Arabidopsis thaliana: one gene and its partner. The protein of the gene in region 1 interacts with the protein of each later gene in a pairwise test. Each region holds a gene or a part of one and is shown in the gene's direction. Other genes may lie near its edges.

Region 1 (7,463 bases):
TAAAATGATAAATGTGTTATAGTCAATGAATAAAGAATAAGAGAGATGGTGTGATGTTTACACGTTTGGGGCCTAAACCAAAAAAAAAGGATGGGTCCAATATGCCAACTACTACTATTGTATTGAGAGTAGGAAGAGAGAGAAACCTTAATGGAGACAGAGGGACAGTGGGGTTATGTCAATTGTCATATTATTCAACCACTCACCAATCACTCACTCCAAATCTATATCTCTCTTTTTACAAATAATTATGATAGATTTGATGATAAGTTGGTTCTCAAATCCCAGCCGTTCAATTTATCCAGATATGCAAGAAAATATTAGATTTTAAGGAATCGGCCTTTCCTTATTTGGTAAGACTAAATATCTCTGTTCATTCTAGTTCCAATAGGTAAAAGAGTAACCTTTTTTCTTACATTATTAATAACTTGCATTGCACAATAACGTATTACCCTATAATTCACAATGATAATGTGTTTTGAAGTCATCTACACACTTCAAAGTTTATTACTCAATCGAAAATTGAAATATTGTCTACCACTCAAATTTCTTGAAATGGTTAAAATACTTGAACGTGTACTATATGCAAAAATCTCTGATATTTAACTGCTTTGAAATTTTTATCAGAATATTACTAGTGATGGGTCAATTTCTTTGTTAACCTTGTGCTTTATGCACTTATGTTTATAGTCTCTATTTTCTACACCTAAACAACACAATCTATTTGTAGGTTGCAACTCGGACCCAAATTTTTTGCTAAATTTTTTGTTGAAGTCTTATATTAAGCTAGGATTGTGACTTAAAATATGAATAAAACTCATATTGTTGGCTTAAAAAACGAATTAGGATGTTTGTATTTAGTAGGAACATAGTGTTATGAAACCACATCTGATAAACACATGATTTTAAAGTGTTTTAAAAACTATTCTAGCTTCAAAACCAGTTTCTCATTCATCCCGAATCTTTTTTTCCATCACATATATAGTAAATTCATGATAGAATTTTAATTTAACCTAAATATATATAGTTCATAGTTGGTTATGTTCAATCGATTAGAAGGGTTCTGTTGGATCCGAATTCGAGACCTAGGAACTACACCATGATACATTTGGGGAAAATATGATATACGTTAGTAGGTCAAACACAAATATTATCTAAGATTAGCCTCCGGCCAGAAAATTATGGACTTTGTATGTGAGGGAGATTGAGAAGCGATTGCTAAGATTAATAAATATGGGGCTTGTTGGTAGAGTAGATCTATAAAAGGGGTGATAGAGAAACGAGTGGAAACGCATGAAGCACGTTATAAAATTGAATAATTGAAGATTCAACCATATTCTTTGATAATTGGTGGGCATTTTTATTTTATTATTTGTTGTCAAATCTCTATATAAAGAAAAAAAATTGTTTTAACGTTTTCGGTTTAATGTTTGACGCATATATGTGGGAACAGTTTTGGGCGACGTGGTAGCTTCCCCTCCTCGTTTCCCCCAAAAGCCAATGCTTAAAATGACGAGAATACCCTCTCCAAAAAACCATGTGCTCCTAAGTCCTGAACTAGTTCTGATTCTTTTCTTTTAGCTATATAGGGAAGTGAGACTTGCGAGGGTGAGTATGTGACATCAAAATGGAAAACACTAAGCTACATAACCGTTGGACTAAAATGGTAATAAAAAGAAGCAGAACAGAAGTAGGTGAATAAAACTGAGAATGGAAACAAGAAACAACTGAAGAAATCGGATTTATATACGTTTTTGATCATATTCTTTGGTTCAAACTCTATAAATAAGTTTCTTGGCTTCTTTCTTATAAGAAGAATCGACTACACTTTAAGTTAAAAGACCACAAGCAATACACAGTTACAAGAAGAAAGAAAAGTAGTTCCAAGTACTCTCTCTACTTTAAGTTATAAGATCACAAGCAATACATAGTATTTAATAATTAACACAAGAGTCGAGCTTGGACTTTCTTCTTTCTTGGGCCTTCTTCTATTCCGATTCATCCCATTGACAAACCCAAAGCGTTGGATACTCAAATGCTCATTCGTAAACACGTATCCTCATTAGCTTTTTCTTTCCCATTTTGCTTGAATGTAACTAATTAATTTGGTTTTTTTTTTAATTAGTAAGTGTAGTATGTCAATATTGTACAACTAGATGATACTGATCCATTAGAGTAACACTAAAGTTACCAAAGTTTCATACAACTCCAACGACAAGCAAGGTTAGGCCTTTCCATCCAATATTATAATCTAAGAAGGAGCGATTGCCCTTGATCTGACCCAACTTGCGAGTGGAAAATCTAATGCTTATTTGTTCATTCGTTTTCTGAGATTCTATATCAAATAATAGTCAGTCATCACTAGAAAATGCTCAAACAACTAATATGATTCATACACATTTCATATCATATGCTTGGCAATATTGGACCGAACTTCATGATTTTTCTGTCCATGAATGCAAATGTGTTGTGATCTCTGAGTTACATCTCAAAATGTGAACTTGACATCATATTCTCGTTCAAAAAAGGAAGATAAGACAAAACATTTAAGAAACATTTCACAATCATAGGGGGCAAAAGATCAAAATTTAAAATTTCGGACGAGAGTGGAAACTATCAATCTTTAAGGGGATGATTTGGCAAAAGTGTTGTTTTTATTTTTCTTTTACTGTTTTCGTTTTATCATCTTTCAACGTCTTTCTCTCCCGACGGCCAAAAACCCCAATTTTGCCAAATCCAATTTTACACCCAGAAACCCTAATTTTCCTTACTTTGATTTGATTTTGTGATGGACGATTATACAAGAGAGATGATGGATCTCAAGACTTTGGTCACTCGAACCCTAGAGAAGAAAGGTGTCCTCGCTAAGATCCGGGTAAATTCCCTCTACTTCTCTACCATACATTATTCGCAGAAATTTTTGAGTGGAAATGAGAACAGAGAAGTGATTCGTTTGAAATACATACATTACTCTTTTTCTAGGGTTCCTGCTATTCAGATCGAAATGCTCGATATTGTTAATTGCCTATGCATCTGGAATCTTGCTGATAGTTTATTTGTGTTTGTAGGCTGAGCTCCGTGCAAGTGTGTTTGAAGCAATTGAAGAAGAGGATAGAGTGATAGAGAACAATGAAGGACCGCCTCCAGCTCTGTTGGGAAGCTGTAATGATCGTGCAAGGAAGCTTCATGCTTCTCCTTCAGGTTTTTTCTTCACAAGTTTTTGCTTTTATCCTTTTAAATCTTTCCTCTATGAATGGTTTGGTTCTAAATGGCATCTCTTGGTTTGAAATTTTTGTTGAAATGCAGGAAGGTTACTATCTGCGTTGATTTGTGAATACTTGGACTGGGCACAACTTAATCACACGCTCATAGTTTATCAACCTGAAAGCAATTTGGTAATCAATATAATCCCGTTTTCTTTTGCTATGTTTCATTAAGAAGATTGTTGATGAATTTTTCTCACTAATCTGGTGAACTCCTGCAAAACCTATTCAAAGCCAAAAGATTCGTGGAAGTCTGAGTTACGCGACTTTAATAGCAACAATGGTTTTGAGCTCAATAGAAATGGAGATAGTGGACCACTCCTTCTCGATGTTCTTGAAGGGTTCTTGAAGTTTGAGGTATTTCTTTCTTTTTTTCCCCTGAAGATGTTTGCAGCCAAGTGTGAAACAGAACTTTACTATCTATAACTTCTTCTCTTAGTTTACAATCTTTACAACCATACTCTAAACAAATTACAATAGTCCACCTGTAGTATGTGTGATTTATGAGTTGTAGTGTTAACAGTTCCTATTATGTAAGTGAAGATGATCAATACTTTACACCCAAGCTTTACAAACACCAACTTACATAAAATCTTGGTACTCTGTCCTCGCAACCAAGAGAAGAAGTTATAGATAGTAAAATTCAGTTTTCCAAGAAAAATAAAGTCTCTTAGTAGAGATTAGAGTTCTTCAGAGATTTGAAAAACACGTTTAGCAAATTTCCTAGCCTCAAGTTCTCTTCACATCTAAGAATCATGTTTCCATCCTATCATAGTTAAAACCATTATCATCTGTTTTTGCCGTATGCTCCTCAGATGTAGTGATCAACTTTTTTTTGTAATGAATTTTTTCTTCAGAGCATGACGCAGGGCATGGGTAGTAGTTCAAGGAGAGATTCAGAAACAGAGTCGTCATCAAGCCTTGAGTCCAGAAATCCTCCTCGCAGATCATCTGCTTCTGATAGCTTACCTCCTCAACGAAGGTACACATATCTTCAACTTCTTATTATTATGCCAAATCAAAGATCGTTACTCTTCGACATGATTGCTTTATTTACCTTCAAATAAATGGGCAGGCCGGTTTCTGCATCTCAAGCATCGGGTGAGTCATCATTTCCCTAGTTTCTTGAAGTATTGGTTGAAATACGTATGCTTCATTATTTTTTGATACCAAATAAATATGACAAGATGTTACAGATAGAAGAGCCGGGTTGTCTACATCTGGGTACAGAAAAGATGAATTCAACTGGAGACAAGGTAACCAAGATACACATGAAGAGGTAACAAGAGCTTCAGCGGCGCTGGAAAATCTACAGCTTGATAGGAAAACTCGGAACTTAACATCGTCTTGGAGGTAAGCTTTCAAGGAAGTCTCATTGAATCCCACATTGAAATGAAAACAAAGCAAGTTGTGGTAAATCTGATCCATCGGGCTTGCTTGTGTTGTAGGAATGTGAGGGATGGAACAAATGAAGAAGAAGGGAGAGATTGATTTAGGCTTTGGATAAACATTTCAGCTTCTGGATTAGTAGAGTAATGGTTTGTGTACGTGATATATGTATGTTTCTCCTTTATTTGCAACTGCGTTTTCAATTAGCCTTTTTTTTAACGCACGAACCTCTGTCTCCTTGAGAACAAAAAACATGAAACAGTAAAATGTTTTCTTTTGAGATTTGTTATGGGAAGAGAAGAGTTCAGAAAGAAGAATCAAAGAAAGCACAATGTGGTTGAATATTTTCATTCACTTGCTTCTTATTTTAGTGTCTCCAAAATTATTATGTCTCTAGTAATAAACAAGGTTTTTGAATGATGTGTTCACTGTTTGTTTTACTCGTACTTTTTTTTTGTTTTCCCTTTAGTCTTCTCTCTCTCTCTCGCTTCTTCGTTTAAAACTTTAAACTAAAGTATCGAAGAAGCCAACTCTGGATGACGCAAAAGCTTCTCTCAGAACGGCATTGTAGAATTCTCCGGTGACCAAATAATCCGATTGCATTAGTAGGGAATCTGTTATTTTGATCTGATCCGTCAAATTGGCGGTAAGAACAATGGACGATTATACAAGAGAGATGATGGATCTCAAGACCTTAGTCACTCGAACCCTAGAGAAGAAAGGTGTTCTCGCTAAGATCCGGGTATATTTGTTTTTCTCTTGCCACGATTCCTCTGGTTCTGTGACATACTTCATTCAAATTCCGTAGAGAGATTTGAGTACAGAGAAGAAGAGAAAACATACATTGCTTTTCTAGGGTTCGTGCTTCCAGATCTACTTTATGCATCTGGAATCATGTGAATTCCCAGTTTTTGTCGTACTTTGAAATTGAGTCTGTGAAAAAATTGTACCTTCTCAGCTGAATTGGATTCTTTAACATTTGGTTTGGAGATTGAAGATTTGTTTTTTTTTCTCTATATTCTTCTGCTGAAATTTTAGTTGTTTCTGTAGGCTGAACTCCGTGCAAGTGTGTTTGAGGCAATCGAAGAAGAGGATAGAGTGATAGAGAACAATGAAGGACTGCCTCCAGCTTTGTTGGGAAGCTGCAATGATCGTGCAAGGCAGCTTCATGCTTCTCCTTCAGGTCTTTCTCAATTTTTATCCTTCATATCTTCTCTTCACTTTTACCCTTCAGAGACCTTTTCTCTTTGAATGGTATGGTTCTAAATGGCATGTCTTGGTTTGGAAATGCTTTCTTGATACTTAGATATATTCGCTTGTTCGAAATGTGTCTCCTTGTTTTTTTCGGGTGAAACTTTGCTTGCTTCTATTCTTAGGCGATATGAACATTGAGATTTTGTGTAGTTGAGTAGGTCATCTTGATCACTTTATAAAATGTTAAAATGCAGGCAGGTTGCTATCTGCATTGATTTGTGAATATTTGGACTGGGCGCAATTAAATCACACGCTTAAAGTTTATCAACCAGAATGCAATTCGGTAATCAATATATTTCATTTTCTTTGAACTTCTGATATTTCTTTTAAGTACGTTGAAGATGAACTTTCTAACTGATGCTGTGATCCCTGAAAACCTATGCAAAGGCAAAAGATTCTTGGAAGTCTGAGATACGTGACTTTAGTATCAACAATGGTTATGAGCTCAACAGAAATGAAGATAGTAGACCGCTTCTTCTGGATGTTCTTGAAGGATTCTTGAAGTTCGAGGTATTTCTTCTGCTTTCTCTCTGAAGATGTTTACACATACAGTATAGCTTTTTTTTTTTTCTCTGTTTACAAGCTTTACAACCATATTTGTTACACATTACAATAGTCCAGCTATGGTACATGATTTCAGGGCGTTAATGTTTACAGTTCCTCTATTCTCTAAGTGAAGATGACCAATACCTGTTGGTTACATCGAAGCTTTACAATTACCAAATTAGTTCAAATCTTGTTACATTGTGCTCACGACCTCACATTTTTTCCAAGTAAATAAAGTGTCTTACTCAAGAAAAGAATTTTTCAGAGCTTTGAATAAGTTCGGTGAATTCCAAGCCTACAATTCTTGTCACACCCAGGGATTATGTTTCCATCCTCTTGTAGTAAAACCATTATAATTTGTCTGCTGTATTCACCTCATATTTAGTGATCAACATTTTTCTTCAGAACATGACGCAGGTCATGGGTGGTAGTTCAAGGAGAGAGTCAGAAACCGAGTCGTCATTAAGCCTTGACACCAGAAATCCTCCTCGCAGATCATCTGCTTCTGATAGCTTACCTCATCAACGACGGTAAATCCAACTCCATGTTCTACCAAATCAACGATCTTTAATCTTCCATGTTGCTTATGAGTCTGACATGCTTAATTAATGGGCAGGTCGGTTTCTGCATCTCAAGCATCGGGAGCCGCTACCTCAGGGTACAGAAAAGACGAGAGCAATTGGAGATATGACACTGAAGATATGCCGGAAGAAGTCATGAGAGCCTCAACAGCACTTGAAAATCTTCAGCTAGACAGGAAAACTCGGAACCTAACATCGTCTTGGAGGTAACTTGGAGCGTCATGGCTCTTACCTTACAAGTCGGATAGAACTGAAAAATAATCTAATCCATTGGTTTTGGTTGTGGTTCAGGAATGTGAAGGATGGAACAAGTGAAGAAGAAGAAGGGAAAGATTGATAAGGCTTTCGTTAAAATCCAGCTTGTGAATTAGTATCTCTACATATATATGTGTGTTTCTTTTTTCATGTATGGTTTTAAATGTTGCAACTT
Region 2 (8,988 bases), about 20 Mb from region 1:
TCTATCTTTGTTTTTGTTCCCTTTGTCTTTTCTTTTTCACTAGTCTATTCTTTTCCCATTTTTCCTCTTAATTTTGTCCTTTATTTTTCTTTGATTACGAGATTATAGATTAATCTCATCTTAACGGGTGAAGTATGTTTGGTGCATTTCATCTACACATATCTTTATCTAAGAAAAAAGGTCATATAACTGGTCAACCAGTTTATTCTGAAGGTTACATGCTATTTATAGTCTTTCGAAGTGTATATCTCTTTAATCTATCATTCATTTCACAGTTTAACATTTTAACCACGCTGTTTATTACTTTGATGCAATCATGAAACCATCTATATACACAATATCATCCAAGAATCGTTATAAGATTTATTCGCAGAAATGAGTGTCAATTAGTAATAATCATATATGTGTTTATCAACTTGACACTCAAAAGTTTTTCCCCAAAAATGGTGGCTCATCTCTAACTATGTACCCACACATACTCTCGTTTCTAAAACAGTGATTAGTTAATCTTTGGTAATGATAACAAAATTGTTTAAACACAAGCAACCAAGAGATTGCATGAAGTTTACATAATACATTTGCAGTAAGCTTAAATAAGGTTATGCTAGCTATAATCTGTTGTTACTCACAAATTGTTATTAGTGCATAAAATTGAAAAACGACCCAAGAATTCAAACCATCAAATCATACATAAAGGTAACGCGCTTGAAATTGATTATGGTACAATATTTGAAAGCAAAACCTAATACCCATGTGTAATAGTATATTCCTCGGTACTTCCAAGGTCAAATCAATTAATTTTGTTTTTTTATATGAATAGCAAACAATATACTTGTTATGAAAAAATAAATAGATAAGAAGTCACAAACCCCACCTGGTTCACAGCACATTGTGGAACAAAGCACGTGATATGCCCACAAGCTTTTTGTGATTAGTACATCTAAGGACATAAACCCTCAAATCAACCAAGACAAAATACTAAAAGACGACGACGACTTTATTCCATATATATAATAATTTTCTTCCTCATTTTATATGCCAGATTCCTTAATGTTGAATGATTCACATGCAAAAAGTTATTACATCATCTTAAGCACTTTATTTAATACATTAAGCAACCGACTAATTGTTTTTAATAATCAGAAAGTAATGAACTTTTTGATCTAATCGTTTCTTCAGTTTGATAACCAACTTGTGGTTTTGTCCACAACACTTAAAACATCATCCACTAAATAAATCACTCTACTATTCGATTAGGGATCTAAGAGCGCTGAAATATCACAATCTTTAACTGGTTAAAGTAATTATGCATGCCTGGCTATAAATTCATTATTGTTATATTGATTTGACGCATACTCTTAACAACAGGAAAGAGATGTATGAGTAAAAAGAACCTTGCACAATAATGTCTTAGTAGCCATCTAATTATAGAAATAGGTTCCTTTCATGATATTTATTGGTGTTTAATCGAAAGAATCAAACAAATGAAGTTGGCTTATTTTTTAATATGAGATCGGATACAGTTTCCAATACCAAATTCATGTATGTATATATAAAGTAGAAGATGTAGTCTATATAAGCTGTGTCGACATCTAGAATCGATTCTTACTTAATATAATGTTGAATAACCTATAATTCATCTTCACCTAGTGGACATAGTTACAAACACACATTAATACACGACACATTATCCAAAACTTTGAATGTGGTTTTTTAATAGCCACTCTTTAATAAACTATAATTTATGACAAACCATATTTAGTGTTTGTGGATATTCACAAAAATGTGGTCCTTCGTATATGCAGAAACTTGAATCCATATTTTGCTTTAACTGTTTAACTTGCATTTGCATATGCATGCATTATTATGCATCAGTCTCTCGCTAAACTATTGAAGTCTATGAATCAAAGTACCCAAAATTAATTATTTTCAATAACTAAATAATATTGACAAATTTAAAATAATAATATCCTAGTTTGAAAGACCCACCAATCTCAGACCATGCAAGCTTTCTTCCAGTTCACCAATCCACTTTCCCCCCTAATAATTTATTTTGATTTTATGTTGCCATTAGAATACAAATTTTATTTATTATCTCTTATTATCCTTTAAGATAAATATATGTATTATCAAATGCTGTGTGTTCCTGACAAACTCCACATGCACATGTAAAAGAGGCACCAAGACTTATAAAGACCCACCAACATTATTTTGTTCACATGGATGTGTAAGGCTAACTTAGCTAATTATCAAAACTCATAGATAAATATTTTTTTTTTTGCTAAAATAGATAAAACTTCTAAGAGAAAAAAAGAGAGAGTCATATTTGGAGAGAAAAAAAATATGTATTATAAAATGTATCAATTTCTCATTCATTGACAATTTGAGATAAATCAATGAATAGATAAACATGCCTAACATTTCTTATAATAGATCCAAAATATAACCAATTTTTTCCGAATTTCAAAAAGCATTTAATTTTGTTTTCTCTAAATAAGTTGCCTTGTGCTGTCATGTGCGTAACTATCATCTTAGGAGATGAAACAGATTCCTCATTATTTGGCGAGCAGAATTTTTCAGAGCTCTGACATAATTAAAGAATATATAAGATTACTAGTGTATATAATACTAAAATACATAAAATCTCATACATGTATAAACTTTATATGTTAACACATGTACATGCATTACATTATATATGCTTCAAACTTCAAAGCCTCCTTTGACAGTTGTATCTTTGCCTTTAAAGATAGAAACCTCTCTCTCTCAAAGACCAAAAACAAAAAAAAAACTTTTTTTTTTTCCCCCTTCTCTTCTTTCTTCTTCAAGGTAGCCTCCAAGCCAAACACGGAGGAACCTAATCTGTTGTCTGCTCGTAACTTCACAAGAAGCTATAATTTGTCGTTAATGTTGGCTTCTTCTTGTCCATTTCTTCTTTTCTTCTTCCTCTGAAACACAAGAAAAACATCTTTAACCCCTGAGCAGAGTAAAAAGACGAAGAAACTGGTAACTCCAAAAAACAGAGTATATATATGAAGAGAAACTTGAGTTTGTGAAAGTTTTTTTAGTTATCTTGTTTTTGAGATAAGAGTTAAGTAGAGGAAGAAGATATGTCTGCAAAACTTCTATATAACTTGTCAGATGAGAATCCAAATCTGAATAAACAGTTTGGATGCATGAATGGGATCTTTCAAGTGTTTTACCGGCAACATTGTCCCGCGACACCAGTCACCGTCTCCGGCGGCGCAGAGAAGTCTTTGCCTCCAGGTAACTTAAACTCTCTCTCTCTTCTAAATCTCAGTTGAGTGTTTAGGACCACAAAGAAACAGAGTAGTTTCACTAGAACCAAAAATATGGTTATAGGCTTATAGCTAAGAACAAGGGGTTAACTTTTGCAGGGGAAAGAAGAGGTAGCGTCGGTGAAACCAACATGGAAAGTGATAAAGAAACGGTAAGAATCTGAACTCAGTTTATTTACTCGTCTCTAAAGAATGAGAATTCAGGAAACACAAACTGAAAGAAACAGAGACTTTTATGGGATTGCAGGAGAGGAGTAGTACCAAAAAGAAGAAGTCTGCAGCAAAAGAGAAGCATAGAGTCTCTTTTGAATCATCTTCAAGACCTTCATTTTCGTCTTCTCCACGCTCCTCTAGCTTCTCGTCTGCAGAAGTCAGTACCACAGCTTCTCAATTTGACCAGCCTGGTGAGAATCTGATCAGAGAACAGCCCAATGGTGGCTTGATGATGCCGTATGATCTAAAGGAGCTTGTCAAAGGCTCTATTAATAGAGAAATTAGAACTAGAGGTGAAGAAGCATCCTTCACTCAGCAGCAGCAGCCCATTTCAGCTCGAAGTAGCATGTTGCTTCTCAAAGAATCATCATTGCGTTCACCATGTCGGAGTTCTAATGAGTGGAATGAAGGAAGAGGAGCGGCTATGAAGTTTAAGGAAAGTCACCGGCTTTCTTATGATGAGAGGGAGATGAGAAACAACGGATTCAGGGTGGGTTCAAAGTTGAAAGAGACACCGAGGTTGTCGTTGGATAGTAGATCCAATTCCTTTAGGAGTCCGAGAGCAGATGCTGCGAGATCGAGTTGTCCAGAGGAACCCGCAACAATGACTCACAGGAGATCGAGTTCTAGTGTTGTTGCCAAATTGATGGGTCTTGAAGTCATTGCAGACAATTCTGATACTGAACAGAGAAGAGAGAACCGGTTTTGTGACTCTCCAAGGCCAATGTCCCGAGTGGAACCAACAGCTCTACAGAGATCTAGAAGCGTAGATTCGATCAAGAGGATACCTGCTTCAGCTGCTTCTAAGTTTCCAATGGAACCAGCTCCATGGAAGCAAATGAAAGCAGGAGACTCTGCACTGACGGTATATGGTGAAATTCAGAAGCGGCTTACGCAGTTGGAGTTCAAAAAGTCGGGAAAAGATCTCAGAGCTCTTAAGCAAATACTTGAGGCTATGGAGAAAACGCAGCAGCTGATAGATGAAAGCAGGGACGACGGTACTCTGAGTACAACCACTCTTATGCAGAGAACTCACAAGCCAGTTTCAGCTGCAACAAGTCCAGCCAGGAACTTCAAATCTTCATCGATCGTTGTTATGAAATCTGCAGCTCCAGTTTCCACCTCTCCGCTGCCACAGAATGTCACCCTACCAAATGTCAAGGTTGGAAACTCTAGACAAACCCGGAAAGTCACCTCAGGGAAGCAGAACGCAATGGATTTAACCCCAAGGCCAGGCCTTTACAAGGGCCAACTCGATTCCACGAAGAGCAATAGCCCAAAAACAGTACGGTCGAGGCAAGCTTTGGCTGCAGATGCTGGTTCCATGACCAAGTCAGGTAGGAGCCAACAGCACAGTGTCAGCCCAAGAACACAGCCAAAAAAGCTCGGGTTCGAGAAACAGACTCGACCCACAACTCCAAAATCAGAGCCAGGCAAAAGGCAACTCGGAAGGCAGCAAACAGAGGTAGCCTCTCCGAGAAGAAAACAGATGATAAAACCTCACAGTACTCTTCAGCAACCTGATGACCGATTAAGCGATGCAAGGAGCGACTTGAGGAGTCTAAGGTCTGACAGCAACATAAGCTTGGGATCGAATGTTGACATCGAGGTTACAAGCAGACATAGGCTGGAGAGGAACTGTGACTTCCCAGAGCAGCACACCCCCAAACAAAGGGTACTAAATAGATCTCTATCTCACGTATCTTCACTTCTCAAGTTAATTCATTAGTACTCAATAAACTGAATCTCTTCTGTCTACCAATGTAGAGTCCAGACTTTGGAATCAAACAAGACAGACCGTCCCTAAAACCTCTGAAAGTTACCGTTGAACAACCGAGCCCTGTTTCAGTTCTTGATGCAGTCTTCGACGAAGAGGATTCACCGTCCCCTGTGAGGAAGATATCCCTTAGTTTTAAAGGTGAGGCACTTAGAAAAGAACATTCAGACTGATTAGTGACTCATTCATATATACTAACAATTACGTGTTCACGATGCTTATTAACTACATGTATTCACAAGGTTTTGGTTAGTATAAAGTTCTCACCGTGTTTTTGTTCTCTTGCCACAGAGGAGGATGCCTTACGTTCTGAAGAATCTGAGTGGATAAACAAGCCTACCAGCTTCTGCAGATCCGTACCATTTCCTCAGAGTAACCGGGGACCAATGAAGCCAAGTTCTGATCATTTTGAATGCTCACCTGAAGAAGGTGCAGACTTCAAAAGCGGCAACCACAAGTACATCTTAGAGATATTGTTGGCCTCAGGGATTCTAAGAGATCTTGAATACAGCATGATAAGCTTTCAGCTGCACCAAACGCGCCTCCCGATCAACCCTGGACTGTTCTTTATCCTGGAACAGAACAAGGCCAGTAATGTGACTCTACCGGACAACAAACACAGAGGTAGAGGATTCAGACAACAGCAGACAAACCCAACAGAGACAATCAGGAGAAAACTCGTCTTCGACACCGTTAACGAGATTTTAGCTCGGAAGTTCACTGCAGAAGGCTGCATCAAACCACGTTTAATCGCAAATCCACTTAAAAAATTGGAGAAAATATCAAAAGAGGAGCAACTTCTGCAGACTCTGTGTTCAGAGATTGATAGGTTACAACAAAACAACTCAAACTGTATCTTGGAGGACGACGAGGAAGACATCATATGGGAGGACCTGCAAAGTCAAAGCATGAACTTGAAGGAGTTTGAAGGAGAGACTCCAGGAATTGTGTTAGATATTGAGAGAATGATTTTCAGAGACTTGGTTAATGAAGTTTGCTTCTGCTAATTTTTTTAAGGTTATCAGTTATCACTTAGATTTGTAAATGAAGTTATCTTAGAGAGGAAGAGAACCTTTAGTCTCTGGGTTTTCAGCCCTCTTGCCTGTTCTGTTCTCTTCCCACTTGTTTGTTGTAACCAGCATATATATACAGGTCTAATTAATAAATAACAGTATTTAAGTTCATAGATAATACCAAAAAGTGCAAAGAGCATATTTATTGGTCTGTCAAACTAATATTTCACTGCAAATCAAGTTAAATGCCAAACAACCATCTATTTCTCCATCGTTTTGAATTAGTAAACATTTCTTACCCTAAAAAGTAACGTATTCCAGTTGCAAACGATCACTAAACTCAGGATGCAAAGCTATTTTGTCTGCAAATTCTAAAATGACATAATACCTATTTTACATCTGAGTTGACAATTGCGAGTCAATTCTTTCACGCTTTTCTTTGATTTCTGACGTCTTCTCCCTCTTGTCTTCACCTTCTTGAAACCAACCCTCTTCCTGGAAGCTCCGATTTTTTGCCAAACACATAGATCTTTTTGTAGTCCCTATCTTGAAACGTACCAAAGTTAGTTCTTTTCTTGCAACATCTACCTTCTCTACATCCTTTGATATAGCTAACCAGTTCTTGTTGTTGATTTTATCCGATGGAGCAGATGCCTCAAGAATTGGGATGTGATGGTTGTTCCTCACATGCTTATCAGGAACGTGGTTGGTCCTAACAACTTCATTTGAAAGCTCCAAAGGGCGGACCACAGGTGACACATTTTTCTCCACAAATCGAAGAGGCGCAGTTAGAAACAGGTTACCTTCGACTACTGCTTCTGTTGATTCTCCAACATCCTTTGAAGATTTATGTATTTCTAACCTACCACCACCATCGAAAGAAAGTTGCATACTCGGTAAAGATGAACCATTTTCTTTACTAGGAATTTCTCCTTCGATTGTGGCTGCATTAGTTTCCTCTGATCGATCACACAATTCGGTTTCGGGAAATGCAGGAAGCCAAACAGGAATGTGTTCATCTGGAGGTTCTGCTCCAACCTCAGAGAAACTAGGAGCAGGTTTTTTCTCTTTACTAAATGGGAAACGAGGAAGAGAGTAAACAAACGGTATCTCCTCTGCTTCTCCAGTATAACGAATGATATCCTTGACTACACCGGAATCAGCAAGACAATGGTCAGTATCAGAAACACCAGCAAAACCCAAACCAGATCCCAAATCCTCTAATGCTTGAAGAATGTCCAGAGAATTACCATCTACTCTACCGGCTAAGTTAGCATACAAATGAGCAGTCTTCCCAATGCTCTGAATATACTGAACCGCAACATCAGTTAGTGTATCAAGAGCAGATTCTTGAAAAGAACTAAACCTCACACCCTCACGTGTCTGTGATTCCTGATACGGGTTAACCTCAACACTCTCGCATATCTGAGCCACTGCCATTCTCGCTATGGAAAAAGCGAAATCATTGCCTCGGAAAAGCTTTCTCTTACCATGTAATTCTCTTTGCTGACTTCCACCTTCCCCAACTCCATTGTTCATATTCAAAAACTTTGTTACAACTTCACCCAACATAACATGTAGAACCATCTCTTGAGTGAAAAACCAACACAACACGTATCCCTCTCAGAACACAAAACAAAAGCCAATATCTTTCCCTCGAAAGTCTTCTCTTAGGCACCTAAGAACAAATAAGAGAGAATAAAACATCAGAATCAATTTTATACTAAACCCAAAAGTGACTAAAAAACGAAGAATTGAACTTAATGAAAGATCAATTTTGTTCCGGTCACTAAGAATAGACGTTTCGGGTTCAATTTAAAGCAGTAGAAAGCAACAAAGCAAACTCGAGAGCGAGAGTTAACGAATCCAATTAAGAGAAGTAAAATGCTTTACCGGAGAAAAAGCTTTATCCACTGAAAATTCACCGGGGAAGAAGAACAGACACAACTTGGGCAGCTATCGGCGGCGAACACAGTGAGAGAAAATGCTAGCGAAGAAGTGAAATTGAAAGCACCAACAAACGAAATTGAGGAAATTTCGCATGCGAATCAAAAACCCAGCTCCAAGTTTAAAACTTTCGATCCAATTTGAGAAGGCGAAGAAAAAGAAGGGTGGGAGATTTTCCAAGTTTGAGATTTTCGTTAACTTTATAGAGAGGAACTACTGAGTTTTTTTAAAGAAAATTAAAGGCAATTACTATTTTTTTCATTTTTAAGGAAATTAAATTAATCTTTATTATAAAAAGAATTATTTATTTTCATATATAGTAAGATTAAGATTATTACAGCGATGATGTAATAATTAGAAAGGATACAATTATTTGCGTTGATGGGCTTTCAGGTTATCAAACAGAATTTCAAACTAATGGGTCTTAGTGGTTGGCCCAACAATAAAAAGACGTTACAAAACATATCAAAAGTTCAAAACCAAATCTTGTTTGATACAGTATGTTTTTAATTTTTAGTGCGACTTAATAAATTCAAATTTCGTCATTTATTGTCCTCCGTAGTTTAGTTTGCTATCAATTTTTGTGAGGTTGGAACGTAAAACCAGATAATTCGAATTAATATATATATATATGCATGTAGTATGATAGCTAGAGATCGACATGGAAGCTTTTTGCAGAAAGTATGATGATATACGACAGAGTCACAGAGCATTGGATCGGTAGCCTTTTACTCAAATC

Evidence for each region. Proteins that work in one complex are often made in the same cells at the same time.
Region 2: the proteins of TON1A (region 1) and LNG2 interact in a two-hybrid assay, tested with the Arabidopsis thaliana proteins (one study listed by BioGRID).

The regions. Positions count from the first base shown.
Region 1 is NC_003074.8:20,378,824-20,386,286, forward strand, and holds TON1A (tonneau family protein), read left to right. Parts: upstream 1-2,636; 5' UTR 2,637-2,788; coding exon 2,789-2,875; intron 2,876-3,068; coding exon 3,069-3,201; intron 3,202-3,306; coding exon 3,307-3,395; intron 3,396-3,497; coding exon 3,498-3,620; intron 3,621-4,120; coding exon 4,121-4,245; intron 4,246-4,338; coding exon 4,339-4,364; intron 4,365-4,459; coding exon 4,460-4,616; intron 4,617-4,711; coding exon 4,712-4,754; 3' UTR 4,755-5,055; downstream 5,056-7,463. Other genes in the region: TON1B (tonneau 1b (TON1b)), read left to right, coding at 5,308-5,394, 5,703-5,835, 6,101-6,189, 6,294-6,416, 6,858-6,982, 7,069-7,239, 7,325-7,370. UniProt on the Arabidopsis thaliana protein: Involved in the control of the dynamic organization of the cortical cytoskeleton. May play a role in the organization of microtubule arrays at the centrosome through interaction with centrin 1 (CEN1).
Region 2 is NC_003074.8:393,516-402,503, reverse strand, and holds LNG2 (longifolia2), read left to right. Parts: upstream 1-2,543; 5' UTR 2,544-3,110; coding exon 3,111-3,267; intron 3,268-3,398; coding exon 3,399-3,451; intron 3,452-3,546; coding exon 3,547-5,187; coding exon of another isoform or gene 5,188-5,241; exon of another isoform or gene 5,242-5,279; coding exon 5,280-5,430; coding exon of another isoform or gene 5,431-5,462; exon of another isoform or gene 5,463-5,580; coding exon 5,581-6,296; 3' UTR 6,297-6,492; downstream 6,493-8,988. Other genes in the region: AT3G02160 (Bromodomain transcription factor), read right to left, coding at 6,696-7,889. UniProt on the Arabidopsis thaliana protein: In association with LNG1, regulates leaf morphology by promoting longitudinal polar cell elongation independently of ROT3. Associates with microtubules and recruits TON1A and TON1B to the cytoskeleton through its C-terminus.